Xenopus tropicalis: one gene and its partners. The protein of the gene in region 2 purifies or fractionates together with the protein of the main gene of each other region. This does not show direct contact. Links are inferred from orthologs where the notes say so. Each region holds a gene or a part of one and is shown on either strand. Other genes may lie near its edges.

What was found.
Region 1: the proteins of sos1 (region 2) and ptpn11 purify together in Homo sapiens (affinity purification with western blotting; 4 studies listed by BioGRID and IntAct, with this or other methods). This does not show direct contact. The link is inferred for Xenopus tropicalis from reciprocal best matches to the Homo sapiens genes SOS1 and PTPN11.
Region 3: the proteins of sos1 (region 2) and eps8 purify together in Homo sapiens (affinity purification with western blotting; 5 studies listed by BioGRID and IntAct, with this or other methods). This does not show direct contact. The link is inferred for Xenopus tropicalis from reciprocal best matches to the Homo sapiens genes SOS1 and EPS8.
Region 4: the proteins of sos1 (region 2) and crk purify together in Homo sapiens (affinity purification with mass spectrometry; 6 studies listed by BioGRID and IntAct, with this or other methods). This does not show direct contact. The link is inferred for Xenopus tropicalis from reciprocal best matches to the Homo sapiens genes SOS1 and CRK.
Region 5: the proteins of sos1 (region 2) and shc1 purify together in Homo sapiens (affinity purification with western blotting; 14 studies listed by BioGRID and IntAct, with this or other methods). This does not show direct contact. The link is inferred for Xenopus tropicalis from reciprocal best matches to the Homo sapiens genes SOS1 and SHC1.
Region 6: the proteins of sos1 (region 2) and frs2 purify together in Homo sapiens (affinity purification with western blotting; 5 studies listed by BioGRID). This does not show direct contact. The link is inferred for Xenopus tropicalis from reciprocal best matches to the Homo sapiens genes SOS1 and FRS2.

Annotation. Positions count from the first base shown.
Region 1 is NC_030677.2:163,817,471-163,822,333, forward strand, and holds part of ptpn11 (tyrosine-protein phosphatase non-receptor type 11), read left to right. Parts: intron 1-905; coding exon 906-1,100; intron 1,101-1,380; coding exon 1,381-1,573; intron 1,574-4,086; coding exon 4,087-4,203; intron 4,204-4,279; coding exon 4,280-4,393; intron 4,394-4,863. UniProt on the Homo sapiens protein: Acts downstream of various receptor and cytoplasmic protein tyrosine kinases to participate in the signal transduction from the cell surface to the nucleus. Positively regulates MAPK signal transduction pathway. Dephosphorylates GAB1, ARHGAP35 and EGFR.
Region 2 is NC_030681.2:42,908,309-42,913,856, reverse strand, and holds the start of sos1 (son of sevenless homolog 1), read right to left. Parts: upstream 3,368-5,548; 5' UTR 2,504-3,367; coding exon 2,399-2,503; intron 1-2,398.
Region 3 is NC_030679.2:157,735-162,597, forward strand, and holds part of eps8 (epidermal growth factor receptor kinase substrate 8), read right to left. Parts: intron 1,792-4,863; coding exon 1,680-1,791; intron 1,344-1,679; coding exon 1,200-1,343; intron 1-1,199. UniProt on the Homo sapiens protein: Signaling adapter that controls various cellular protrusions by regulating actin cytoskeleton dynamics and architecture. Depending on its association with other signal transducers, can regulate different processes.
Region 4 is NC_030678.2:46,095,073-46,099,935, forward strand, and holds part of crk (adapter molecule crk), read right to left. Parts: intron 2,473-4,863; coding exon 1,940-2,472; intron 1-1,939. UniProt on the Homo sapiens protein: Involved in cell branching and adhesion mediated by BCAR1-CRK-RAPGEF1 signaling and activation of RAP1.
Region 5 is NC_030684.2:145,090,311-145,095,173, reverse strand, and holds part of shc1 (SHC-transforming protein 1), read right to left. Parts: intron 4,807-4,863; coding exon 4,687-4,806; intron 4,523-4,686; coding exon 4,469-4,522; intron 4,191-4,468; coding exon 4,139-4,190; intron 4,042-4,138; coding exon 3,915-4,041; intron 3,824-3,914; coding exon 3,643-3,823; intron 3,564-3,642; coding exon 3,503-3,563; intron 3,287-3,502; coding exon 3,140-3,286; intron 2,535-3,139; coding exon 2,302-2,534; intron 1,584-2,301; coding exon 1,455-1,583; 3' UTR 1-1,454. UniProt on the Homo sapiens protein: Signaling adapter that couples activated growth factor receptors to signaling pathways. Participates in a signaling cascade initiated by activated KIT and KITLG/SCF.
Region 6 is NC_030679.2:59,097,344-59,102,517, forward strand, and holds the end of frs2 (fibroblast growth factor receptor substrate 2), read left to right. Parts: intron 1-276; coding exon 277-440; intron 441-1,773; coding exon 1,774-2,730; 3' UTR 2,731-4,112; downstream 4,113-5,174. UniProt on the Homo sapiens protein: Adapter protein that links activated FGR and NGF receptors to downstream signaling pathways.

The DNA of each region.
Region 1 (4,863 bases), on a different chromosome or scaffold from region 2:
TTTAAGTAGTCCTCAAATTTAATGCACATTACACACTAGTAGATATATTTCCAAACATATATTGCAGCACTGTAAAACCGCTTAATCCACTGGATTTTTTAAAAAGCAGTTAAGAAAGCTGTAATTGCTGTTTAGTTTTTCTCCATGTAATTGGTATATGTAACATCATACTAGTTGCACATCATCGTTTTTGCATGTAGAGTTGATATTTTACTCTGTGTAAAGTGAAAAGGGAAGAGCCATTATTTCACGTAAATATGCAGTCTAACTAATTTTACTATACAATAAATTACAATGCATGTTTTACATAATACTTCGCTGTTATTTCACCCATTGTCTGTTGCAAAATATCAGAGGACAGTAGAAAAGCTGCATGATTAGTATCTGACCTTACACATACATACTGGATTACACAGATTGAAAGAAAAACCATGCTAGTCTCTCACTCTGTTTATAATATAAAAGGGAAAATATTTTTTTGTTTCTGAACAAAAAACTAAATTTAAAAACTGCAAATAAAAAATTAAGACCAATTGCAAATTGTCTCAGAAAAACACTCTCTACATTAGGGATCCACAAGCTTTTTTTTACTTGTGAGCTACACTCAGGTGTAAAAAGTGTTGGTGAGCCAACACTTTGGGGATACCAAATGAGGAGCAGTAGGTCTCCTTGGTTTAAAATTGTGTTTCTGTGCTTCCACAACACGCCTCCAAGCCAGAAATTAAAAAACTGGCACCTACTTTGAGGCCACTGGGAGCAACATCAAAGGGGGTGGTGAGCAACCTGTTGCTCACAAGACACTGGTTGGAGAACTGCTCTATATCATACTAAAAGTAAATTTAAAGGCCACTCTTCATGTCTCTTCTGTCTGTCTCTACTTAAATTAACTGCATTTTGCATTTTAGGCGGAACGGAGCTGTGACACACATAAAAATACAGAATACTGGGGATTATTATGACTTGTATGGAGGGGAAAAGTTTGCAACATTGGCTGAACTTGTTCAGTATTATATGGAACACCATGGGCAACTGAAAGAAAAGAATGGTGATGTTATTGAACTGAAATATCCACTAAACTGTGCAGACCCAACATCTGAGAGGTGAGAGAGCTCTGTTTTTCACCTTGACACATGTTTTGACTTTTCTTTCATGTATTAACCTTCAAAGTCCTTCTCAAATTCTTTGTATTACCTTATGAATTAGTCTCCAGTTTAAGAATATGCACTTGAGAAGTGGATCTCCTGAAACGGTAATATTGATAAATCTATTGATCCACTTGTAGAGCATAATAGCCTAGCCTGTTAAAAGCCTTTATTGATAAAGATGATTTACTTTTTGGAAGTCTTTGTTGTTATGTTAATTTACATTATATGGCTGCAGGTGGTTCCATGGGCATCTTTCAGGGAAAGAAGCAGAGAAGCTGTTGACAGAGAAAGGTAAACATGGAAGCTTTCTGGTGCGGGAAAGCCAAAGCCACCCTGGAGATTTTGTCCTTTCGGTACGGACAGGTGATGACAAAGCAGAAAGCAATGATGGAAAGTCCAAGGTGACACATGTTATGATACGATGCCAGGTACACATCCTATTTGAAGGGCTTATATTTATGTTGTCCTAATTAATGCACAACAATTCCACCTTCTTACTAAAGACTTAAATAGTGTGACTAATGTTAAAGATTAATTAAAGATCAATATGTTATTTGATATCTTGAGTACTTAAATGCAACCTCAATTAATTTCTGTGCTGGCCTAGTTGGATATTTGATATTTCCCCCCTTATTATTGTTAGTTAAAATGCTGTATTGTTCAACTGGCAGATTTTTTACATTTTGTCTGCTGCATAGTGATGCTGTCCACGACAGCTATTTGCGCATGCGCAGGGAGAGGGCAATGGGGGCAGCCTCGGGGCACCCAGATAAGAAATCCGGCGCTGGAGGTATACACACTTCTCTTGTACAGTTCTGCAGAGCAAGCTGGCAATTTCATTAATATTTATAATTATATTACAAATGTTAAGGTGTAAAAATATCTGGCCATAAACCTTCATCTAGAGAGACTGGTCAAGCCTGCTTTAGAGAAAGAAAATGTGCAACTAAAGTCATTCATTTGCTGAATGCTGACACACTCAAGTAATATTTTACTCTGTTACAAATTAGGTTAGGGAACCATAGATATGAATCTTGGCAGTATTGCAGGGATATTCATCCTTTTGACTGCATTATTATGATTTAAGTTTTAGTATAGCAAAGCCATTTAATTTCATCTTGGAATCAAGCCCTTTTTTCCTGTTCACAGTAAATGTGAACAGTTTCTGTTGAAGAAAAACTAATGTGAAATAGGCGCGATTTTGTTATATATACAATATATATAATTATGTGTGTGTCAATGTCTGGCCTAATTATCCCTTTAATATTACATGACTTTAGATAACTGTAAACTAAGGGTGACCATTTTTTTCGTATGCCACTTGCTTATTTGCATATGGATTTGGTTAATTTTTTTGATGTGTATTTAGTCTTCAGATGAATCCTAAATCTGTGGATTTGGTTCATTCCTTATATTTATAGTAAATAGAAAACCATATTGTTGCACGTTTGTTTTTTTTCCTCCACAAGCAAATTTGCACATTGATAAATTGTGACTGGAGCAAATAGAGAGGGGGAAAAAAATCTCTTTCAACTTCTGTGACTGCTGAAGATACAGTTCTCATTAATTGTGGCATATCTGCTGGTTTTAGGTGGCAGGACAATTATTGATAATCTCACTCCTGGTATTAATTATATCATTGTAAATAGTGCTTAGTGATGTCATCAGTTATAATCACTGCTTAGTGATATAATTAGTCGCATGACTCACAGAAATTTGTGTATTATAAATAATAATGTAAATACTGTTCCCCCTGTAGTAAAATATGAGGACATTAGAAGTCCCCTCAGAATTCCATAATCTGTATAAAAGCACTCTGCCTTTAGCCTTGTGCTTTTATATGGTCATGGATCTCCTCAGTAACTTATAATTTCCTTATACTTTACAATACCTGTACCGGGTACATTATTTACTATATAATTTTGCTTTTTGTTTCATAAGATAAAAAAAAAAAGCTTGATGTCATATGTCACATGACTTATATAAACCTGCTTCATATAAAAAATAACACAATCTGAGAATGTTAGATGTCACTTGGGGGAGTTCCATGACCTTTATATAAGCATTCATTCTTTACCGTCTTGCCTTTTATATGGTCATGGACCTCCTCTGTGCTATATCATCCTGATATTTTGCAGCAGGGCCCTACATTCTTCCCTTATGGGAACTGGAAGGTAATTTTGTAGCCTTCCCTCTTTATGGTGGCATAAATTGCTGTCAACCGTATTTATGTCCATGTCATAGGCTTCCATGTGGGTATGCCTGGTCGAAGTTGTATGTTAAACTAGTTCCCATTCAAGGGGTTAATATTAGCCACATTCTGTTGGTGGTTTTAGCACAAATTATTACTACACTAGATTGGGCTTTTGAAATAATTCATAACCAGGAGACACAAACTTAGGGGCTGATTTACTTACCCACGAACGGGTCGAATGGAGTCCGATTGCGTTTTTTTCGTAATGATCGGTACTTTGCGATTTTTTCGGATTCTTTACGAATTTTTCGGATCCAATACGATTTTTGCGTAAAAACGCGAGTTTTCCTATCCATTACGAAAGTTGCGTAAAAAGTTGCGCATTTTGCGTAGCGTTAAAACTTACGCGAAAAGTTGCGCATTTTTCGTAGCGTTAAGTTATAACGCTACGAAAAATGCGCAACTTTTCGCGTAAGTTTTAACGCTACGAAAAATGCGCAACTTTTTATGCAACTTTCGGAATGGATACGAAAAACTCGCATTTTTACGCAAAAATCGTATTGGTAACGAAAAATTCGTACAGAATCCGAAAAAATCGCAAAACATACGAAAAAGTCGCAAAATGTTCGTTTTCAAGTCGGAACTTTTCCAATTCGGGTCGGATTCGTGGGTTAGTAAATCAGCCCCTTAGTATATTGAATTATTGTATTATGCAGATACCTTGCATTTTTTTTCTGCTTTCTCCAGGATTTAAAATATGATGTTGGAGGGGGAGAGAAATTTGACTCTCTGACAGATCTCGTGGAACATTATAAAAAAAATCCTATGGTTGAGACTTTAGGAACTGTACTGCAGCTAAAACAGGTAAGACTAATTAAACATGACAATTAACCCCTTGTACCTATTTACCCATATGCTAAGAATTTAGCTTTTCTTTTAGCCACTGAACACAACGCGGATTAATGCTGCAGAAATTGAAAGCCGGGTAAAGGAACTTAGCAAGCCAGCAGAGACTGCAGATAAATTTAAGCAAGGATTCTGGGAAGAATTTGAGGTACTTTTATAGTATTGTGTCCAATTTGTTACCCTCTGTTTGGCCTGTTATTTGTGTGGTTTTTTTTATATTCATTTGCAGTTACGGTTTGATGCTTAACATTAGAATGCTCCCCATCAGTTTCCTTTAATGATAATTAAAGTCAATATGCTATGGAGTTAATTTCTCCAAACAAACACAATCATAGATTGTTAGGACACAAAGATGAAAATAAGAGGGGCCATTGATTTATGTGTATAGAGAAGTAGATTCTGCATCATTTTTGTTCCATTGCTGCAGTAATTACATTTTGAAAGATTACTGATAAAGCATTTAATTTTACAGACTTTAAAAGCACTAAGGATGTTTTTTTTTATTAATGTTTGTCTTTGTAACGTGCATATAATTTAATTTTTTCCTACTAAAGACATGCTATTTATACCCCTTCCCAGGACACTTTGCAGCATTGCAGTATTCTCTCAGTAATCTAG
Region 2 (5,548 bases):
AAGGTGAAAATCCCAAAGCAAAGGAATGTCCAGCACTGACCATAAAAACCAGGAGGAGTGCTGGGCACCAAAAAGATGTGCAACGGTCTGCAGGGCAGTCGCCTCCAATCAATGGTTCTGTGACATCAGGAATAATGTCATGCCAGCTCTCTGACCAGCACAACCATTAGCCCCCTCACTAGTAGCCAAACCCAGAGGACAGGCAGTATGTAGCAAGCTTCTCACTGGATAAGATCACTTTTTGTAGTCTATGACTCCCAAAATTAAACTGTTTTTTTAGAATATATGGAAAGGAATGGAAAGTGTAGATGTTCCACTACCTTACACTGCAACCCAATTCTGGTATGAAATAACTTTACGTAGAGAGTTAACATATGAAATAGGAACATTTGAAATTTTTGCAGAATGCAGTTATCCCATAGCATTGCCAGCATATGTCTTTCAATGTGTTACACATAAGCAAAAAGAATACACACATTTACAGACATGTAAGAAGTATAAATAATGTGCAATTTCAGGGTACCATAATGTATTATAAATGAGAATCTTCACTGCTATGAAACAATGAATATCTGAATTTTTTTTCTTTACTATTTCACATTTTTTGTTCAGGAGCTCTCTAGTCTGTCATTTCAACTGCTAAAACTAGTCTGTCACCAGATTGCTAGAATCATTGATCCAAATCCATAAAAGTCAAGAATTGGCCTAAATGACAGAATAGAAGACAAACAGAAGAATGGCTGAACAGAAATAAAAGACTGATTAAATATGACAATAAGAACCTAGCAAATACATGTATATACATTTGGTTGTTGGGCTTGGACCTGTGATTTTAGAAAATAGACATATGTTTACATTGCAGAGAAAAAAAAAATATAAATTCATAAAAAAATAATAATTTACTAAGTTTCCCTTTACTAAACCTGTCTGACATGACTCACTCAATTTTTCATTTTCAAAACACTTAGAGGAGGTCTAAAATTTAAACATTGAGGGGTACACTCCCCAGTGATTCTAACTGATATCCTCAGACCCTGAGCCAGAACTCTTCTTGGCTGAAAAACGTGGCAGCCCAGGTACTATTCCAGTGAGCATTGCAATGCCATTTTGCCAAACTTTCCCAAGGATCACTTTCTGTTGGTCTGGGTTGCATGCATGTGCAGACCTTTTATTGTAATGAGTATTACACTAGCAACATAAAAATTAGGTGTATATTTTTTTTTATACAAGTTTTTCATAAGATGTACAGTAATGTGACCGTTATGGCATTGTTCACCTTCCAGACACCAGCAATAATTTTATTCAATTGCTTTTTAATTTGTATTTGTGATTGGTATTCTAATATTGCTTTAAAACAGCTCTGGGAGAGGGTGGAGTCACAGACACTGTAACCTGTTCTAATTTGATATGTCAGTTACTACATTTCTTATCTTGGACTCTGCTGAGTATAATGCTGGAGTTTTATTAAAAGCAGCTAACATTCCACAGCTGCTGCTGATAAATGTATCAACTAATGTAGCAAAATGTAACAGTTCAGGGTCTGCACCTGGATTGCTGAGCTGCCAAACACAAGAGACAGTACCATTAAAGTTTAAACTTCAATTTTAGAAAAATATACATTAGAAATAATAAATAGAAGGCAATTGAAAAAAAAAAAAAAGCCTTGTTGCATCTGAAAATGTCTGTGCTGAAAAAAAAGTGAACAAACCCTTGAACCTGTGGGAAAGGATCATAGTTGACACCTACTTTTGCCCCTTGCAGTACTTAAAATCAGATCTGGCCTTGGTTTTAACAGACATCTAAATATCACAGCCATAAAGAGGACCGAGATTTCATTTCTGACTAGTTGGACCAGCTAAGTTCCATTATACATATCCATTTAATTAGTGTGGAGTGTGAATAAGGCCAGTGACAGGGGACAGCTGTAGTCATTTGACTTTTATGTAAAAGGGGACTTAAAACCCACAAATACAATGCTATCTAATGAATGAAAATTTTAAGAAACTTACCAACATGCAATTCATTAAAATGAAATGATTGGTTTTAAATGTATTTGTGCATGCAATTGCAACTGAAAACTGTATTTTTGTACCATCTCTTGATACTATGTAGCAGAAGCATGATTATTTGGAGGTCTGTTAATTAGCTGCCTTCTGCTACATTGTTTAAAAAGACAGGCCTTGGTATACAAAAGGTCAAGCAGAGTTTTACTTTTCAATAGCAATTACATTTACAAATAACATTAAAACCATTGAAAATGTGTAGCTGAATTATATTGGAAAGTTTATAGGCAGAGTTTTTTAAGGTTCCATGTAACAAAACAGCCTGTGGCCTCTGGGTGTTGCAGAAATAGACTGGTTTGTCACAGGTTGAACATCCATGTTGTAACCCCTCTTACCTTTTTCAGGGCACCAACCAGCAGACCCTTCCATTTGGGGGAGTTCTCCTCACTGAAGAAGTCGTACTGAAACTGTGGGGCCTGCATGACGGCTTCCCTCGGCATTTGTAGAGCTGGGGGCGGATTATCCTAATCCTCACAATGCCAGGTGGGGGAGAAAGGCGCCTGCCAGGTAAGGAGACTGGGTCCTTCAAGTGGGGGTGCCACTTATGCTCCCCCGCCCCGCCAGATAAACTCCACCGCCTTCCAAATGAGCAGATGCCGGCTTTAAGGCAACAAATGATCCATAAGGGTGGGGAAGTTGAAGAAGTTGCCCCTTAAACGGGGCAGCATAGGGCGCACATTTCCCCTTTGGGAGAAAGAGAAGGAGGGGGGCGGCTCATGGACACCGCTTGCACTTGACAGCTGCCTGTACATATATGACAGCTGTGTGTATACATAGGAGATGGGTGGGACTAGGCCGGAGGCACGCACTTGCTTACTCCTAGTCCCGACCTCTCTTAATTCCGGGGTGAGCTAGGAGGCCGCGGATGGAGGTGCGATTCAGGGGCTGCTCTGCCCTCCCGGGCCCACACAGGAGCTGCCAGCGCGCCGCCCCGTCTCTCTGCTAATAACAAAGGCAGACTGGGAAGCTCCAGTGGCGCAGCGTTCTCCTTGAGCATCCAGAAAACGGGGGTCTGGACGGGCGTCACTGGATAAAAAAAGACACCCCGGTTCCCCTCCCTGTTGTCTGCTCCTTCGCCGCCCCTCCTTGTTTACGGCCGACTTCTCTTTCCCTTAGCAGCTCGACCCAGCCTGTGGTAATGATGGCGCAAGAGGACTCTTGATGCGTCACTTTGTTATTATTTTTGTTGTTAGTTTATTCCCCCCACACTCTCGCCAGACAGCAGCGCTCAGCGGCCGTTGGAACAGACTTGTATTGCGACTGCGCGCAATCTAGGGGGCGACAGAAGGGCTGCCTGCCGCCGTCATGTGACCACCGACCTTAACTCCGCCTACGCCTGATTTAGCCACAAGCGCACCACTTTTTTTTTTTTCAAATAGCTTTATTATTATGGTACTATACCTTTGATCAGCGTACTGCATACAAATATGCTGCTCAATACATTCAATGTATTTTCATATAAACCTGCAGTATTGGGGAAACCTTATACATTTTTTGCTTCATTCTCTTGATTTTTCAATTTATGTCAAGTTTACTTACCACAAACCCCTAATTTGCAGGGATAGTTCTGATATTTGTTCCTTGTAAAGCATCTTGTTAGTTTTTAAAACTGTGTACAGTGTCAGACTGATGTGTCTGGGGCTCACTGGGGCTGCCACCTCAGGGGGCCACCCAACCCCAGTCTGAGCTCCTCCACTGCCCCATCCTCCACCCACATGCAGCTTGCGCGTGATATCAGTTCCGCAGTGTCCTGACCCTGTACCTCTAAACCTGCCCCCAGCTCTATCACCAGATTTCCTAAGGAAATCTGCGGGCAGAGACTGGGTGCATTTTTTTTTAAATTATAAATCTAATATATAGGCACTATGTAGCTCTCGTTTTTTGCTATGCTTTAAGGATGGCTCTAAGTGTATAGCCCCATGAGAGGAGACACCAACCCAGTAGTGTAACTACATGTTACTGGGCCCCACAGTAAATTAAATTTAGGACCCCAAAACATTAGTAAATAAATGTATTTATTTGTTAGGGGCCTAAGAAGACTGCTTTAGTAATCTTTCTTTTAAACCTACCTTGATACACACATCAATTTCTTTTTACTTTTTTTTGTTTTTTTGCCCTAAAAGTCCTTTTTGACCAGTAAACAGTGTATCTACTTTTTTCAGTTTATTTGTTTTCAGATAGTACACCAGATATAAAAACTTTTCAGTTGCCATTTTTTTTTATTTTTGACCGGTTTTCTAATATTGAAGTTCAAAGTGTAATTTTTCATCTTCTCATCTCTCTAAAAATCCTCTGGGAAGAGGTCACTATACACTACTCTAATTTCATACATTAGTTATTACATTTCTTACATTTGGCCCTGCGGAGCATAATTTCTGAGTTAAGAGTTGCTAACATTGCACAGATACTGCTGAGAAATGTATCAACTAATGCAGTGCTGTCCAACTTCTGTGGTACCAAGGGCTGGAATTTTTCCGTCATATATGGTGGAGGGCCGATAATGGAAGCTCCCCTTTTTTAAATCACACCCACTTGCTGCCTGTGTGTGCCATACTCTGCCTGCCCTACGCTGCCTGTGTGTGTCATACTCTGCCTGCCCTACCCTTCCTGTGTATGCCATACTCTGCCTGCCCTACCCTGCCTGTGTGTGCCATACTCTGCCTGCCCTATACTGCCTGTGTGTGCCATACACACAGGCAGGATAGGGCAGGCAGAGTATGGCACACACACAGGGTACGACAGGTAGACTATGATGACTGCTACTAGTATGGCTACTAAAATAGACAATGCTGATGATTTACTGATAATTGTCCCTACTCCCTACGTGTGTTTTAGCAGTGGCAATTCTCAGTATTGTCTATGGCAGGGGATTTTCTGGAGATTAGTAGCCATGAAAAGTAGCTGCTACTGGAAGCTCTGTGTGTCGTCACCCTAAGGGTGAAGACACACAGAGCTACTAGTAGCAGCTACTTGTCATTGCTACTAAAATAGACAATGCTGATTATTTACTGATAACAGTCTCTACGTGTGTCTTAGGAGAGGCAATTCTCAGTATTGTCTATGGCAGGGGATTTTCTGGCGTTTAGTAGCCATGGAAAAGTAGCTGCTACTAGTAGTTTTCACCCTAAGTGTACATTTTTTATTATCTACAGTTTGAGTTTCTTGTGTTTGGGACATTGGCTGATGAGATTTGTTTCCCTTGGAAAATTTGCGCTACATGTGAACGACAGATCTTCTGAAAATACTACTCCCACTAACATTCACATCACAGAATATGTAACACCTTACTTCTGGCAATTCAGCATAATTGCTGAAAAATGTGTAAGGAGGGCAAGGTATTTTCATATTTGTCACCCATGTAGCGAAGAGTTCCCCTGGTCACCTCGCCATGTCCCGTCCCCAGTGCTCCGTATGAGAGCAAATCTTTACATGCAGCTGGGCGGCATGCCGCCCCTAAATTTATGGGCCCTGGCTTTTGTGGTCTC
Region 3 (4,863 bases), on a different chromosome or scaffold from region 2:
TACCCCCAGAATGAATGCTTAGCCAACAGACAGTTTATATTATGTTAAGTTGCCTATTAAAGAATCACCCCAAACTGGAATATATATATCAGTAAATATTGCCCTTTCCCTTGAGCCGCCATTTTGTAATGGGCTGTGTGCTCCCTCAGAGATCAGCTGACAGGAAGTGATGGGCTGTGTGCTCCCTCAGAGATCAGCTGACAGGAAGTGATGGGCTGTGTGCTCCCTCAGAGATCAGCTGACAGGAAGTGATGCAGCTCTAACTGTAACAGGAAGTAGTGTGAGAGCAAAAGGCAGAACTGCCCATTCATTGGCTGATGGGGCCTAGCATGTATGTGTGCCTTGGCTTGTTTGTGTGCACTGTGAATCCTATGATCCCAGGGGGAGGCCCTTAATTCTTAAAATGGCGGTTTCCTATTTAGGATTACCCAAGCGCACATACTGCTAAATAAGTATATTTCAATGATAATGGTTTTACCCCCCCAAGCTTTATAAAGGTGAGCGCAGTAGGGAAGAAGGAATTACCTGAGACAGTTCTCCCAGTAATCGCTGTGGGTGGGGGGGAGAGAGAGAGTCAGATATAACACAACTGGCACCCAAAGGAGAGCCGCCATATTGCTCTTACACACCCAATGTCTCCATAACATCCACAGGCCAAGACACTCCCACCTGGGAAACCAAAAGCCCCAGCAACCCAGGGGGATTGAAAGCCACATCCTCTCTGAGAAAGGTGTGGCCCCAGGCCCCCCCAAAGGCCCAAATGAACGAACAAAAGAGGCACACAGGGAATTCTGGGAAGGGACAGACATGCAAACACAGCACACAGGGAATTCTGGGAAGGGACAGGCATGCACACACAGGGAATTCTGGGAAGGGACAGGCACGCACACAGACAGATATACAGGTATGTACCATTAAGGAGAACACACAGAAGGAATAGGGAGGCTAAAGGAAAAGCAACTTTGAGTCAGTGCAAAGGTAGAAGTGAATGATCAGAGGGGGCACTCGGGGAAGTGGTACCTGGAAGATCTCAAACTCCTCCTTTGGCATCAGAAGCTACAGACAGACACAATCAGCACTAACACACAGCTTGGCAATATAATGGGGGCAGATTAATCAACGTGTGACATTAGAGGCTGGGCTGTGTGTGTGCCGGGGGCACCATATCAGGTGGTACTGACCCAGGCGCTAGATGGTACCTGGATTGTGTGCGTGTACGCGGCTTCCATTGGCTTTGCTGACTGATCTTGTGGCTTCATTGCTACCAAAATATTGTTTGGCACAAAACCGACTGCCCCACTCGAGCTCCGGACTTTCCACCACTGCTTCTTATCATCGAGGACCTGGGGAAGTCACACAAGAGTCACATGTTTGCACTTTACTCTACAGGATTTGGGGGCTTCACTAAAAGCAGAACAACAGATTCCCCCCTTGGGATTTTTCTGGCTCCACCCAAGAGGAAAAATCAGTAGCTGTTAGGCTCCTCCTACATGAGGCAGATTCTCGGGGTGCGGATAAACTCCGCAAGCAAGGGACAGACACTGCTGTGCAAAGCAATTGGCAGAAATGCCTTTTTATTAGGAGGATGTTCTCTATACAAATAAAACAGCTTTTGGGTGGAGTTCCCCTTTAATGCCACTAGGAAGCAAACAACAAGCCATACAGTGGCCACACATTACCTCCAAGACATCATCTTTAAGGACAGAGAGTTCGTTTGAGTTCCGGGCCACAAAGTCGTACTTGCACAAGGCGTATCTCTGGGCCTCCACTTGGTCGCGCTCCTCAAAATTCCTTCAATAAAAGAAGAGGTTTAACTGAGCCAATAGGAAAGATCAGAACAGTTCATCACACTGTGTGCCCTGCTCATTTCTTAGCTGCTTGTTTATGGCAATGCCCAGATAAACAGGGGGGCCCGGGGCACTATATAGAGCACTAGATGTATGCTGTAGGCTTCCTACCATTCCTCAATCATCTTCCAGACACCCCCAACATGAGCCACCAAACAAGCCCAATCATTCCTCTGTCAGAAACCCCCAACATGAGCCACCCAACAAGCCCAATCATTCCTCTAGCAAAATCCCCCAACATGAGCCACCCAGCAAGCCCAATCATTCCTCTAGCAAACCCCCCCAACATGAGCCACCCAGCAAGCCCAATCATTCCTCTAGCAAAACCCCCAACATGAGCCACCCAACAAGCCCAATCATTCCTCCAGCAAAATCCCCCAACATGAGCCACCCAACAAGCCCAATCATTCCTCTAGCAAAACCCCCCAACATGAGCCACCAAACAAGCCCAATCATTCCTCTAGGAAAACCCCCCAACATGAGCCACCCAACAAGCCCAATCATTCCTCTAGCAAAACCCCCCAACATGAGCCACCAAACAAGCCCAATCATTCCTCTAGCAAACACCCCCAACATGAGCCACCCAACAAGCCCAATCATTCCTCTAGCAAACACCCCCAACATGAGCCACCAAACAAGCCCAATCATTCCTCTAGGAAAACCCCCCAACATGAGCCACCCAACAAGCCCAATCATTCCTCTAGCAAACACCCCCAACATGAGCCACCCAACAAGCCCAATCATTCCTCTGTCAGAAACCCCCAATATGAGCCACTAAACAAGCCCAATCATTCCTCTAGCAAAACCCCCAACATGAGCCACCCAACAAGCCCAATCATTCCTCTAGCAAACACCCCCAACATGAGCCACCCAACAAGCCCAATCATTCCTCTAGCAAACACCCCCAACATGAGCCACCCAACAAGCCCAATCATTCCTCTAGCAAACACCCCCAACATGAGCCACCCAACAAGCCCAATCATTCCTCTAGCAAACACCCCCAACATGAGCCACCCAACAAGCCCAATCATTCCTCTAGCAAACACCCCCAACATGAGCCACCCAACAAGCCCAATCATTCCTCTGTCAGAAACCCCCAACATGAGCCACCCAACAAGCCCAATCATTCCTCTAGCAAATACCCCCAACATGAGCCACCCAACAAGCCCAATCATTCCTCTGTCAGAAACCCCCAACATGAGCCACCCAACAAGCCCAATCATTCCTCTAGCAAAACCCCCCAACAAGAGCCACTAAACAAGCCCAATCATTCCTCTAGCAAAACCCCCAACATGAGCCACCCAACAAGCCCAATCATTCCTCATCACAGTATGGGTCAATCATCTGAGTCAGCAGCAAGAGTCCCCCCTCATTCCCAATCATATCATTACGAGGCTCACAAACCAATAATACATACAGTGCATCATTTCTCTGCACAGTCCTGCCCAATGAATAAGCCAGAGAGTTCCACTCTTTACTCAGCAAGATCCACTTTAGAAATACTGGGTTCTGAATCCTTTTTATTCTGCAGCGTGGTTCTTTAGAACTTTTTAAATTAGGTTAAGTGACAATGTTCTGATGGGGCCCAATAAAGTCTCTCCTCGCTATTCTCTACCAGGTGACACAGAACCCTCTCTCCTACACCTGCAGCTCTGGCCCAACCAATGGTCTCATTCTCACATTCTGCCCCCTGCAGCTGATTTCTGCCCCCTATAGACTTCTCTCTCTGCCCCAGAGACCCATGCATCTGCCTAATCCCACATGCCAAATGGCGCCTCTCTCTTTTGGCCCCAGGGCCGGGCTGCCTCTCCCAGGTCCAATACCCTCCTGCAGCTGAATGTAGCCCCCCGACTCTCAATAACCTGGGGGGCCTGCTGATACATATGGAGTCACTTACTGATCTGCAAATAAGCCAACGAGAAACCACAATGGTAGGAAATATTTTTATTGACAAAATGTATGCATTATATAATATATATATCTCTAAGATATGATCAAGTCTCTGGTAAATTAATTATTTTAGGGTTAGATTTCTATAATGTTCATGCAAATGTCTTTAATAAATTAACCTTCCTTATTTCTTTAGAAAACTCTGGCCAAATTCATTAAGGTCCGTTCCCTCCTCCCCATTAAGGTCCGTTCCCTCCTCCCCATTAAGGTCCGTTCCCTCCTCCCCATTAAGGTCCGTTCCCTCCTCCCCATTAAGGTCCGTTCCCTCCTCCCCATAAAGGTCCGTTCCCTCCTCCCCATTAAGGTCCGTTCCCTCCTCCCCATTAAGGTCCGTTCCCTCCTCCCCATTAAGGTCCGTTCCCTCCTCCCCATTAAGGTCCGTTCCCTCCTCCCCATTAAGGATGAATTATTTTGGTTTTATCAAGTCCCATATTCAGTATGGATACTCATAGGGGCAGATTTACTAATCCACGAATCCGAATCCCGAAAGGGAAAAAAATCGTATTGGAAACGAAAATTTTGCAACTTTTTCATCGCCGTCGCGATTTTTCTTATTTGTCGCGACTTTTTCATCGCTGTCGCGGTTTTTTTCGTATTGAGCGATAGTATACGGCGGAAAAACCAATCCGATTTTTTCGCGACGGCGATGAAAAAGTTTCAGGAAAATATACGAAAAAGTCGCAAAAATACCGATCATTATGAAAAAACGCATACAGACGCCTTCGGACCGTCCGTGGATTAATAAATCTGCCCCATAGAGTTGGGGTAAATAAGCCAAATTCACGTGGCAGAATTATAGGGGCACATTTGTACCAGCAGCAGCTTCGTACTGCAGTTATAAAATGCCCCCCACCATATGGCACTTTGTGTTGCTGCTCTGTGAGGTGGCAGCTGGCACGGTGCCCACAGACTGGCATTTTATGAGCTAATTCATGTCAGTGTTGGGCAGCTAGAAAGGCACCGGAGCTTTATAAGAAGGAGGGAAGGGCTGGAATCTCATAGGGTTATGGATTTGTGTCTAATTGCAAGTTGTGGTGCCACTGGGCCCATATGGGCCGGCGCCAAT
Region 4 (4,863 bases), on a different chromosome or scaffold from region 2:
AATGCTTGGGACCTAGGGTTTTCCGGATAAGGGATCTTTCTGTAATTTGGATCTCCATAACTTAAGTCTACTAAAAACATTTAAATATTGAATGAATCCAATAGGAGTGTTTTGCCTCCAATAAGGATTAATTATATCTCAGTTGGTATCAAGTACAAGGTACTGTTTTATTATTACAGAGAAAAAGGAAAGCATTTTTAAAAATTAGAATTATTTGCTTATAATGGAGTCTATGGGAGATGGGCTTTCTGTAATTTTGAACTTTCTGGATAATGGGTTTCCAGATAAGGGATCCCATACCTGTAATAGTTTTGTTGTACTAAACAGCCAGATGGCTTAAAGGACCATAAGATTGACATTTTCATGCGTGACCAATTTTTAAGGTGGCAATTCATTGGCTGATAAAGAACTGGTGTACAGTGAGGCTCAGGGTCTTAACTAGGGAGGAAGGCGAAGCCCCAATGCCACTTAAGGCTAGATTTGGGTATAATGACTATATTCTTCTCTTCTGGAACCGCAACTTGAGCATAATTTAGATTGAGGTTATTTCCACTTAGCACATATTTGCTGTTGTAGATATTTTTGAAACAACGCCTGAAACGGTCATCATTTTTTTTTTCATATGTCTGACTTTTCATGAGCTCACGTACTAAAACTTTAAAGGAATGTTGCACCCCAAAGTGGGGTTTAAAACAATTAGGTCTGAAAATCACTGCTCTACACTTTCCACCTGATACATGTTGGCCAAATAGGTGGATGTGGATAACCCAATTGATTGAAACTGCAGGAAGAGAATCTGAACTGCAGTTCTTTTTCATTGCCTCATCTGCTGATCATTTTGGATTTGATAGAATTGCAGGACAATATGTCAGAAGGGCCTCCAAATCTGGCATACATGTCTAGATGGCTGGGAAGTATGGTTAAAATCAACTAATATTCCTGAACAAATCTGGGCAAGCTTTAGCATATGACAACAGTTTTAGGTGGTTTCATGTTCAGGCCTACTGATGTTCAATATTTTAGCTGTTCACTGCAGGGATTCTGTCATGATTTTTATGTGTAAATTACACTGTTTACATAGCAAATAATTCACTATCATTTAAAAAGTTATTGTTGAACCAACAAACATTTTTTAAGTTGTAATATTGGTGTGTAGGCGCCATCTCAGTGCATTGTGCCCGAGTCTGAGCTTTCAGAAGGAGCCAGCGCTACACATCAGAACTGCTTTCAGGTAACCTATTGCTTTTCCTACTCCCATGTAACTGGAGGAGTCCCAAGCTGGACTTGGATTCCTTACTATTGAGTGCTATTCTGATATCTCCTGGGAGCTGCTCCCTTCCTATTGTTCTGCTGATCAGCTGCTGGGAGGGGGTTATATCAGTCCAACTTGAAGCTCAGCAGTAAAGTGTGAGAAAATACTCTAAGAACCAATGGTGGAAATGAAACTTCACTGGCAATAATCTTAATACTCAATGGTTATGTAATAAAAGGTGCAACGTTTGTTACAGGGCTAGGCACCTACAGCAAATAAGCAGAAAGCATTTCCTCTTGGTTGCTACTGATTACTGCACCTGGGCAAGCTTTGTGCCATTAATTACATATGGGGATACATTTAAAACAGTGTTTAATAACTAACACAGGAGCTACTGTCTAAGATTTACTTGCCTTTAAATATGGCAGTATAATTTAAAAAAATATATTTAAAAATGCCTTACCTTAAAAAAGCATGGGCTTAAAATACATAGAGAAGGGTCATAACATCCTAAAGATACTGGCATTTACAGATTAAAGAATTAAGTGTGTTATCTACTTCAGCCTTGCATAGGAGATTTTACTCCCTGCATTGGCATATACTGCCCTTTGGTCTAATTAAGCTTGTGTATTGTAAAGGAAAATGCCTTTGGAAGAATTTTCCTTTCATGTTGTGCCCATTATATACCTCCAAAGCCAAGGCTGTCTTGTCGTAGGCATTAGGGACGCGCTTCTGGATAACCCTGGCAAAAATGGGCCCATTCTGAAGGTTAGGCAGCGGAGTGTTGACGCTGGGCTGGGCATAGGGCCCTGGCTCCGGCCCACCCAGTGGTTGCGGGTGCGAGTTTTCCTGGTTACCTCCAATCAGGGCTGACCCTGCTGAAGAGGGAGGCCTGTACTTCTCGACGTAAGGCACAGGTATCATGCCCCGTCTTCCATCGTTGTCCTCAGCATTCCACCACTGCTCCTCGGGCTTATCTCGAATTCTCAGGATGTCTCCTTTCTTAAATGGAAGATCTTCATCATCATTGCCATTAAAGTCAAAGAGAGCTCGCACGTATTCAACTTCTTCTTGTCTTTGGATTACACCAGATTGTTTAGACTTGGAAACTGGTTCTATTAAAGTTGTAGTGTCCAGGTAATGGATCTTATAAAATTCCAAAAGAGATGGTAAGGAATCAAACTCTTGGTCACCTATTCTGAATCGGGACTGGATCATTCCTGCAGAAGGAGGAAAAAACAAAACAAAAAAAGATCACAACATGTACTAGAAATCAGCACTTATATGATGATATATGATCTGGAATGCATGTATTTATAAGGTTGATAGAAAAAAGTGGGAATACCTGACCCAAACCTTAAAGGAACAGTAACACCAAAAAATGAAAGAGCTTTAAAGTAATAAAAATATAATGCACTGTACTGGTAAAACTGGTGTGTTTGTTACAGTAACACTACTATAATTTATATAATAAGCTGCTGTGTAGCCACAGAGGCAGCCATTCAAGCTGGAAAAAAGGAGAAAAGGCACAGGTTACATAGCAGATAACAGATAAGTTCTGTAGAATACAATGGTGTTTTATCTGTTATCTACTAAGTGCCTGTGCTTTTTCTCCTTTGAATGGCTGCCTCCATGGCTACATAGCAGCTTATTTATATAAATTATAGTAGACTTTCTGAAGTAAACACACAACTTTTACCAGTGCAGGGCAGCAGCACATTATATTTTAGTTACTTTTATACACTTTCATTTTTTGGTGTTACTTTAAGGTAGCCATACACGGGTCAATTCTAACTGCCGATATTGGTCCTTTAGAGATCTGTTAAGTGTTATTTCTCAAACAGTATCTGTCTGGCTGTGCCCATTCTAACATTTGAAACATTAGTAAAATAAAATATCTTCCAGGCAAGACAATTTGCAGTGAAACTGCACCAAAGAAGAATGTTTACATTTGTGGCTAAATATAAGATACAAAGTACAGAGGTGTTAAATATGGCCTACTCAACCACAAAGAACCTAGCATGTCCGGCAAATATACATTGTATTTTGCTACTGTTGAGTCACCATGAAAATATTACTGTCACAGGAAGGCACTGCACATTTCAACCTACTGATTCTTTGATGTCCTGCAATAGACATAACCTCAGATTTTTTCAAGCTCACTGAACACCCTTATATGAGATGCCCAAGTGTGTTCCTTAGCTGGTATTAGTTTTTATATCTGCCATCATAGGAAATTTATTGGAGGGGGGCTCTGCACAGATTCCACTAAGACTTTCAGGTAGCATTTTCACACCTAGACCTCGATTAAAACGGACCATACACTAAAGGCGAGGTCAGACAAAGAGTATACAGTGAAGAACATAAGTATCTGAACACTAGGGCTGGGCGATATACCGTTTAATACCGAAGTTTTTATTTTTTAAAACTATATTAATTTTTCAGATACCGCAATACCGGGGTGTCAAAGTGCACACACGTCAAAGCGTGCACGTCCGTGATGCGCTGACGGCGCCGGTTCTGCGTATGCGTGGGGGGGTATTTAAAGCTATCAAACGCCTCCTCCTGTGCTATGTTGTCTGCGGCTTTGCCTGGGAAACTAAGCCTGCCTGATTTACCTTACGACTTTCTGTTGCCGATCCTTCGCTTGCCTGACTCTGATTTTCAATACTGCAGTAATTATTCTCTAATTTATTAGGAAATGGGGTTAACACCTAATCATGCATGAAAAAAAAAATACAGTGACACCGATATAATTTTGAAAAATACTGCGATATAGATTTTTGGTCATACCGCCCAGCTCTACTGAACACCCTGCGATTCTGCAAGTTCTCCCACTTAAAAATCATGGAGGGGTCTGAAGTTCACATTGTAGGTGCATTCCCACTGAGAGACAGCATTTAAAAAAAATATTCAGGAAATCACATTGTATGATTTTTAAAGAATGTATTTGTATTGCACTGCTGCACATAAGTATTTGAACATCTGAGAAAATCAGTGTTAATATTTGGTACAGAAGCCTTTGTTTGCAATTACAGAGGCCAAACGTTTCCTGTAGTTCTTGACCAGGTTTGCACACACTGCAACAGGGATTTTGGCCCACTCCTCCACAAAGATCTCCTCTAGATTTTCTATTGGATTTAGGTCTGGAGACTGGCTAGGCCACTCCAGAACCTTGATATGCCTCTTACGGAGCCACTCCTTGGTTATCCTGGCTGTGTGCTTTGGGTCAAGAACTACAGGAAACGTTTGACCTCTGTAATTGCAAACAAAGACTTCTGTACAAAATATTAACCCTGATTTTCTCAGGTGTTCAAATACTTATGTGCAGCAGTGCAATACAAATAAATTCTTTAAAAGTCATACAATGTGATTTCCTGATTTTTTTCTTAAATGCTGTCTCTCACAGTGGGAATGCACCTACAATGTGAATTTCACACCCCTCCATGATAGGTAAAACTTGAAAATTGAAGGGTGTTCAAATACTTATGTTCCTTACTGTATCAACTTCTCTCAGCCTTGCACTTTTCTGCCAGGCTGAAAGAAGCGGGTCCACTTCTGTTCGCTTTGTCTGACTTAGCTCTAATGGTGAAGACACACAGAGCTACTAG
Region 5 (4,863 bases), on a different chromosome or scaffold from region 2:
AGCTGTGACATTGTCCCCGCCCCCCCCTTGTTTAGGTTGGGCCCCAGAATAAGCCTGGGAGTGAGGTTTGGGCCCCAAACAAAGGACTGAGTTGATTGTTTTTTGGTAGAGAAATAAGAATGTATGATGAAGGGGCGGTTACCCAAACCTACACAGGGCCCTCCCTCTATTAAAAATATAGTTGTTATAGGAAAATTTCCCCTTTAATATGACCAGCATTGTCCAATACAGGCTTCAGACTTGCCTCCCCCTGTAAATGTTGTGCTATGGCCCCGCCCCCTGTGAGCCAGCCAATAGCATAACTCCAGCTGGAGGGCTGCAAGCCTGGAATACAGACAGCATCGAGTCCCATGCCCGGGTATTGCCAGGGCAGATTGTCTGTGCCAGGGGTCCAACTGACTGGGGGTAAGTGCCAGCACAAGAATAGCAATAACCTGTATAGGGTTAAACCCAGTGACTGGTGGGCGGGCCCTGGGGCCACACTGCAGCTTGCCCATTGATAGAGGAGCAGCATTGCACAGAGAGACCCGCGTGAGAGACAACCTTGCCCCTGAGACTGTCCCAGCTTGGGGGGAGAGGTCTGACGTGTGTGTGTTCATACTGTTGGCTGTGGCCCCTCGTGCTGGGGGGCCCACAATGGAAGGAAGAGACTACAGGTCCCAGGTGAGTGTGCAATCTTCCTGAGCCCTGGCTAAGGCACAAGGTACAGAGAGGTGGGGGGGGCAACACAGCACTGGCATAACCCCCACATGCCAATCAATTGCCCCCGGGCAGGTAGGGGGCATTGTCAGCTGGAGACGGACGAGAAGTAACTTGCAGGATTCACACGGATTTGCCCTTCTGCCCCCACTGAAGCTTGTCCATCCCTCCCCCAGAGGAAGCACGTTACAGGTCGGGTAAAAATCAACCAATGGGGAAAAAGCACAGACAGAATGGTTTCACCCCCTTCTCTGTCAGTTGTGGTACAGTCCCAGGGTGGGGGCTAGGCATACGTAGGTACAAGAGCCACCCCCCCCCCCCAGTCACAATGTGCACTTATCTACCTGCTGGCTGAGAATGGGGTCACTCAGGGTAAAGGCACTAGAGAGGATTGGCCGGATGCAGCTTGGAGTGTGTGCTTGCAGGGATCAGCCTGGCATTGTGCTGAAAGGAGACACTGGCAGTGCCATGGAAGAGTCTGATCCCAGGAGTAAGGCCCATCTGCTCATTGTCTGCTCACTGTGTCTGCAGGGGCAATGGCCTTAGCTGCTTGGGGCAGTTCAGACATGCTGCCCCGGCCGAGGTGAACTGCTGGCCGACAGAATACGTGGGGCACTCTTGGCCAAGCTCGGGCCCCAGGAGGCTCCTCCTACTACAGTAGGGCTGGCCTTGCTCCGTAGAAAGGAAAGACAGGAGGTGGTGGGGGTAGTGTTGGTGAAGGCTCAAGTGTGAAGGGGCGGATCCCAGGGGCGGGGTCACTGTCTCCGCTCCACCGGCTGCTGAAGGCAGAGCTCGCTCCCAGCAGAAATAATAGGCAAGCGATTGTCCATGTGATAGCTGATCAGGTGACTGACGCTCTCAAACCTGTGGTCTTTGGTTCGAACCTGGCAGGAGGCAAAGCGGGAGTTAAATGGGAGGAGTCCTGGCACAGACCATTCCCTCACACCCCTCAATTCAGCCCTTAGTGCCCCTGGCACAGACCATTGCCTCACACCTAGGGGTTCCTCAATTCAGCCCTTAGTACCCCTGGCACAGACCATTGCCTCACACCTAGGGGTTCCTCAATTCAGCCCTTAGTACCCCTGGCACAGACCATTGCCTCACACCCCTCAATTCGGCCCTTAGTACCCCTGGCACAGACCATTCCCTCACACCCCTCAATTCAGCCCTTAGTGCCCCTGGCACAGACCATTCCCTCACACCTAGGGGTTCCTCAATTCAGCCCTTAGTACCCCTGGCACAGACCATTGCCTCACACCTAGGGGTTCCTCAATTCAGCCCTTAGTGCCCCTGGCACAGACCATTGCCTCACACCTAGGGGTTCCTCAATTCAGCCCTTAGTACCCCTGGCACAGACCATTCCCTCACACCCCTCAATTCAGCCCTTAGTACCCCTGGCACAGACCATTCCCTCACACCCCTCAATTCAGCCCTTAGTACCCCTGGCACAGACCATTCCCTCACACCCCTCAATTCAGCCCTTAGTGCCCCTGGCACAGACCATTCCCTCACCCCTAGGGGTTCCTCAATTCAGCCCTCAGTGCCCCTGGCACAGACCATTCCCTCACCCCTAGGGGTCACAAAGCTGAGCCTTCTACTTACCACTCCTTCAGGGTCCACAAGCAGAAGGTGTTTGGGCTGCCCACACTGCAGGCCGGTCAGTACGTACTGCCCCGGGGTGGTGGTGCTCTCCCTCACCAGGAAGTCCCCATTCACTTTCAGCAGCCTCTCTGCTTCCTTGCGGTTCATCTTTCCGTGGTACCAAGACTCCCGCTTCAGCTGATCCTCCATACTGACTACTGCCTGAGCCGAGGGCAAGGCGTCCTCAAACGGCTCTACAGGGGCAACGGGAAAGTTAGTGGTGGTACCAACAGCGTTAGTGCCCATTGGGTCTAGGAGAGACTGACCCGCAGACATGTCGGTACCATTAGTGCCCATTGGGTCTAGGAGAGACTGACCCGCAGACATGTCGGTACCATTAGTGCCCATTGGGTCTAGGAGAGACTGACCCGCAGACATGTCGGTACCATTAGTGCCCATTGGGTCTAGGAGAGACTGACCCGCAGACATGTCGGTACCATTAGTGCCCATTGGGTCTAGGAGAGACTGACCCGCAGACATGTCGGTACCATTAGTGCCCATTGGGTCTAGGAGAGACTGACCCGCAGACATGTCGGTACCATTAGTGCCCATTGGGTCTAGGAGAGACTGACCCGCAGACATGTCGGTACCATTAGTGCCCATTGGGTCTAGGAGAGACTGACCCGCAGACATGTCGGTACCATTAGTGCCCATTGGGTCTAGGAGAGACTGACCCGCAGACATGTCGGTACCATTAGTGCCCATTGGGTTTAGGAGAGACTGACCCACAGACAAGTTGGTACCATTAACACAAGGTTGGGGGGGGGGGTAACAAATGCAGGTTACGAATGGAACGCACTCATGTCGAAGATGTCCCTCTGGCCGTTTGCTGCCCGCAGAGGCTGCCGAGACTTCTCCAGGTTCTGGACATTGACGTAGGAGGGGTCATCGAAGAGATCGGGCCGATTCGGAGGCCGACTGCAGGGGACTGGAAATCTCTCCCTGCCTACGGGGGACAAGACAGTGTGAGTAATGAACTACCCCCACCCCATGAAGGGTCTGTAGCTTGGGGACATTTAGGGGAACCAAAGGGAGGTATATGGTCCAAGTACAGTAACTAACAGGGGGAGGAGCTATACAGCCATCTCCAGTAGGACATGCAATGTGGGGCTGCACATTAGGCACACAGGCAGATGGTACACTGGCCACTAGTGGCTCCTACCTTGCACTGTCGGCTGTGGCTTCCTGGAATCCTGTTCGGCACCAGAGACCTGTCCCACGGGCTGTGGGAGAAAGGAAAAGCTCAGCCCGGATCATGTTTCCTACAGCACCCTCTCTTCCTCTCTCTGCCCATGAACTTACCAGGGTGGCACCCATGTGATTTGGGCTTTGCCTAGGAACTGCCGGTGCTACCCCATCTCGCAGCCGCATATCTACTACTCCCCCAATAGGGGGCTCTTTCCCTGGGAAATCATTGTAATAGGCATGGTCTGGGAGCTCCTCCTCTTCCTCATCCCACGCCGACCCATCAAAACCAGCCATTCTGCCGGGAGCACGCAAGGGGAAGAGACAAAAGTGAAATTCCCTGACTATTCCTCTTACTTACCCTTTATTTAATAATGAGAGGCACTTACCTGTCATGGGGGGTGACCAGTTTGGGGGGATTTTTGAGGTATTGTTTGAAGCGTAGTTCAAAGGCCTGTCCTATTGTGCTGATCACGTCCTGAGCAAGGCCTTCTGGGCACTCCAGGATATGGCAGGCTGTGAGAGAGCACAGATGTGGTGACTCCTCCTACTGCAAGCAGCAATGGCTATATATATATATATATATATATATATATATATCTCTTGTACCCACCTCTCTGATTGACTGGATCTTTGGCCACATAAGCGACATACTCAGCTGTATCCTAAGGGGAACAAGAGAACGGATTGCAGGACAAGAGAAGCCTGTATGAGCCCCGCCCCCCAACTCCTATCCATACATTAGCTCCGCCTATTTCATACACCATTAAGCTGGCCATACGTGCTCCTATATAACGGTATGAAACAAAGATTGTTCCATTATACCTACCATTGATATCCAAAGGTTCGCCGTATCATAGCTAAAACTCATCCCCCTCCCATATACAAACACCCTCCCCCTCCCTCCCATATACAAACCCAGGCACACAGCCCCAGCACTTACGGGATCTCCCCCAGAAGCAAATGATATTGACTGCATGTGGTGGTTGGCGATGATCTGTAATGGAGGAAGAGACAAAGGCTGCAATTATTATCAGATTCCCCCTCTGCTGGAACCCAGAGGCCTAGAATGGTAGCCAGCGTGGCCAACCTCAGCAGGGCTAGTAGGAGGTCACATGACAAGACCTGTACAACATGAGGGCTGGGGCCCAGGTGTCTCACCTGTTTGCAGTCGGAGGCCATGAGGTTGAGGCTGCTGGTGGAGACGGTCAGAGTGATTGGCATGCCGGCGAACTTCAGGTTGCTCTTCCCTAGGATGGAGTTTAAGGACCGCCCACAAGTCTTTGGGGGGGGGACATGGAGAGAAAGAGTTAGGTAGGACTGACCAATACAATGGGC
Region 6 (5,174 bases), on a different chromosome or scaffold from region 2:
CTCAAACTCCTACACAGAAATTATTCTTCCTTGCTGTTGAAGGAATTTTGTTTTTATAAATATGCATAAATGTGTGTGTTCATGGCTGAAAAGGATTTTAAAACTGGTTAAGGTATTTATTGCATTGTTTATATAGTGTGTGTATGTGTGTGTTTTTCCCATTGCACAAAATATTTAAGTAGACCATATTTATTTGAAGGATAAAGACCTCGAGTGTTTATTACTTTTATATGAACAAATTAAAATCTGTTTTCCTTAAATTTGCTCCCCTTGTAGCCCCTGGATTTAGTGGGTCAGGTGTCCCAAATGGCTACCCCCGCTACCCATCCTTTGGTGAAGCATCCTCGCACCCATCAAGCAGACATCCCTCTGTGGGTAGCACACGCCTTCCTTCAGTTGGTGAAGAATCTACACACCCTTTACTTGTCCCTGAAGACCATGTAAGTGCGAGGTTAATATATCCCTCCCTTCTAAAGTAGTATTGTAGTTATAGCTTAATTACATTGCTATTTATTGCAATATAGGTATGAATTTATCACTTTTTTAATAAAATATTCTAAAACTGTATTTGTTTTTGTTCTTGGTACAGGTAAATTTATTTCATTTTATTATTTATCTAATTTACAGTTTTGATATGTTATATGTACTAAATTACAGCGCCTTTAAAGAGTTTAATCATCATTCAATTTAATCCCTGCCCAAGCAGATCTTACAGTTTATTAAATTTCCACAACACACTAGGGTCAATTTCATGAAGCCAATTTTTTTTTCCTTTTTTAATGTTGGAGGAAATATCCAGTTGATGATATGATGCAGACACAGGGAGATCATATAGTACAAGCTACTTGCAGCTAGTTTCAATATCAGACTTAGGGTTGCCACCTTTTCTAGAAAAATATACCAAAATGGTGCCTGACAGTACAGTATCTCAATAAAAATTTTTGCCTGTGTTTCAGCCCCCTTATGTGATTACCCCTGTATAATTAAGGTGTATGGCCATTGGTCTATGTATGTCACAGACACTCACTAATGGAAAGACAGGCAAGTCAGTTTAGTTCTGGAGGATGTTTTTCAAAGCTGCATGCCTATGGCTACAAACAGCCATTAGTGTTTAGTCATTTAAGTTGAAACCAGTTATACTGCAAGACCATATTTCTGACCACCGTAACCCTTTGTGTCACATAACGTAAAATCTACATTTTGTGAATAAAAGTACCTATGTGCCACGTATTGTAGATTCTATGTTCTGCTGTACTTTTTGAGTCTGGGAGTGGAGCAGTGGCTTTAAAAGCCACTCCTTCGCTTTCCACTTCCCATTTTTCAGAGAAAATATAATCGTCTGCAGTGGTTTTCTTTCTTTCTTGATGGAAAGCACACTTGAATAGGGCTCTCTGTTAGTCTGTTTTTTAACATATAATCTTAGGATACAAACTTTTTGTAAATGCAGGGATTAAAAGGTGTGAACAACACAGTGGATTAAATTTTTAAACAATACAGGGGGTTTACAGCCTGAATCTGAGGTTTTAACCATGCAGGGGGCCAGTACTGATACCATTTAAAGCTTACACCAAGGTAAGCCATCAAAGCAGCCAGACAGGTGGGGGGCCACACAGAGGGGGGCCGCGGGCCACCAGTTGGACAGCACTGTTCTAAAGGATAGTGCAATTCGTAGTTTTTTTTTTTTTTTAATGACGGCAACATTGCAGATAAAGATAACTGTAATTAGTTACCTGTGTGTTCGTTTTACATTTTAATGTTTTCCTTTTTGTTTAGGTGCATACATATGTTAACACTTCTGGAGTACAGGAGGATCAGAAACAGAGGCCAAATATTCCACCTGCTCAGGAGGTTTGTGTTTCCAACCTTGAAGTAATCCATGGCCACAGTGAACCTGCTGTTCCTGAGAGAGATCCACAGGTTATTCTTGAGCCTGAAGGAGTGAAGTTTGTTTTAGGACCAACACCTGTTCAGAGACAGTTAATGGAGAAAAAGAAACTGGAGAAACTTGAGCAAAACCAAGCTAGTGTAAACAATGGTGAAAGCAGTTGTCCAAATAACACAGAAGGGGACACTGGTTATGACAGCGATGAACGCAGAGAAACTCCTGGCAATAAAATGGTGTATGAGAATTTAAATGGATTATCCATTTCATCATCTGGGGTGCGAAGGGGACGAGTGGTACCGCCCATTCCCACCGATATCCAAAATGTAAATAACTCTGCACAGAGGAGAACTGCCTTGATAAACTATGAAAACTTACCATCCCTTCCTCCAGTCTGGGAAACTCGGAAACCCAGCAGAGAGGAAGATGAATCACTAGGACCAAAGACTCCATCCTTAAATGGGTTTCATAGTAACTTAGACCCAATGCATAATTACGTGAACACTGAAAATGTAACTGTTCCATTAAGTGCTCACAAAGTAGAGTTTTCTAGACGTCGGGACTGCACACCAACAGTCTTCAATTTTGATATAAGGCGTCCAAGTCTGGAACAAAGGCAGCTTAATTACATACAGGTTGATTTGGAAGGTGGCAGTGACTCTGATAACCCCCAGACTCCAAAAACGCCGACCACTCCACTCCCACAAACTCCTACGAGGCGTACGGAGCTATATGCTGTGATAGATATTGAAAGGACTGCTGCCATGTCAAACTTACAAAAAGCACTGCCAAGAGATGATGGTACGTCTAGAAAGACAAGGCATAACAGTACTGACCTACCCATGTGAGCCTCAAGCACGCTACTTCATTTTGCACCTTTGTGATATTTCTTTTAGAAAATCCACAAAAAAAACCCATCTTATACACTAACACTTTTATAGACTAAATTTTACATGTGCTTTTGTCTAAAGGGAATTGATGTAGAGCAGGTACTCCTAAAATAATTTTCACACTACAGTAGTCATATGTACTGTATAGCTGCATAGCTGCATTTTTGTGCCTATTTAATTGAATAGACTTGCAGTGATATGCCAGTTTTAAGTTTATCAACATAAAAGACACTTGCCTTTAATATTTTACATCTAGACTGTTGCCATTTAAAGCCGCAGATGCATTTTAATTTTGGGGATGTTTCCAGTATGAATGTGTTAAATATATATACAGTATGTATTTTTATACTAATTGTTTTTTTAATAATGCCAGGAATTTGCCAAATATTTCTCACCAGCATTTTGCATTATGGACATTAGTACAAGTGTACATTTGCTTTTGATCATGAAATAAAAAGTGCTGTATTACAGCCGTGCAACATGCTGCATTCAGACAAGCATGTTGCTTTTTGCACGCAAAGCACTATTCAAGCTATGTTCCCAAAATGTCCTCCTGCATTAAAAAGTCCTTTGCAGATATTTGGTTGCAAAGGATTCTAGTTTTTACATGTTTTTGTGGGGGGGAGGGAATATGTGAGTTACATTATGCCTGGGTTGCATTTATTAAATGCAGATATTTACAGTTGTATAAAGGCCAAACAATATTTCTCTTTGTTTATCCCATTGTATTATATTGTAAGATTACTGTATGTTCTACTTTAAACTACAAAATGTTTAATTTTTTCCTACATAAAAGTATATAAATAGCAACTTTTGTATAAAGGTAGTGTAGGCAATATTTGAGTTTCCTTTTTTTAATAATGAAATAGGCAATGCACATTGCCAAATATTATGACAACTTTTCTAAAGTCTCTTAGGTTAATATCTGCACTAAACATTCCATGATACTGTGTTACTATTGAGCCCTGCAGTAGTGACAGTTCATATGCAACACAATGTAGAGCAGTGGGTTGCTGGAAACATTGCACTGCAGGGCTCAGCAAAAGAGATACTATGCAGAAACATTATCTTCATTAAAAAATGTTCTTGATTTGAACACTAGCCTTTAATTTAATGTGTTTGGTTTGCATTTTCAGATATTGACATTGCTTACCAGATGTTCATTTAAAATACTCATATATATATATTTTGATATTGACAATATTGTCACTTCATTGGTGCCAACATCATTTTTGTAGCATGGCAATAAAATACTGATTTACACAAGGCTTTCTAATATTGTGTTTTGTACTTAATGTTACTAGTATAATTTTGCCATATATTAAACAGAAACCAAAGAATGGATTTACACTGTGATTATTTATATGCACTGTAAATTGCTTTTAGGCTAACTGCATAATTTTCAAAATGTGTATTATGTATATTGAAAATACCCCTGCATTCACTATAAAAAGCTCTTTGGACCATATGATGAATTATTATTGCCATCTAGTGCTCCTCTGAAAACAGTAGATATGACCCCCAGGTGATGAGTATTCAGCAGTTAAACATTTTTACTGCATTCAGATGGCTGACATTCAGGGCATATATTTCAAAATATGAATTTATAGCTTAATATGTAAAAACTCTCACCCATGTTCTAATTATTCCAATGGGTATTTATCAATTGGTGAACTCTTAACTTTTACACCGCTTCTGAAAATCCCATAGGAATGAGTACAACATGAGTTTTTATTTATTAAGCTCTGCCCCTTAGTCAAAGCTTTACTTGACCATACACAGGCACAAGCCTTATCATTAATCATTCTGATGAACGTACGTTTGTCCACCAAAACAGGGTTTTGGGTTTTTTTTTTATACTTTATTTTCATTTTTCAAATATAAACATAAATCAGGGTGACATGCATAGAGAAAAAAAAGGGGAACAGAAGCAAAAGCCTGTTAGTTACCGTGTTATGCATATTCACAACATTGTTTAGTACTGTGTTGCTTTACTGTATTGAGAACCATTTAGTAAATAGTGTTTCCTGTTTATATTTACAAGAAAGGGGGAAGAGAGGGGGAGAACGGTTAGGTGGGTCAGAGCAACTTAGTGATGATAGGTTCTTGTATATTTTTTTAATTCACTTTCTGTGGCAACAGGGTGTGACTCCTGTCTTCAGCACTTCTACAGATGGATGCCATGCTGAGTTTCTTTAAGCATTGTCTATAAATAGTGTTTACTTAATTTTAATACTTTTATTAACATGCCTATAACAATCCTACACTAATGAATAGATGACAGTGGCATTTTTTTTTCTTGCAGAGCTGTGGTCGGCTCTGTGTTCACCCTTTGATAAATATGCCTCTTATGTAGTGTTTAAAAGCTGTGGTTATTGGTCTGCTGCATTGTATGTGTATAT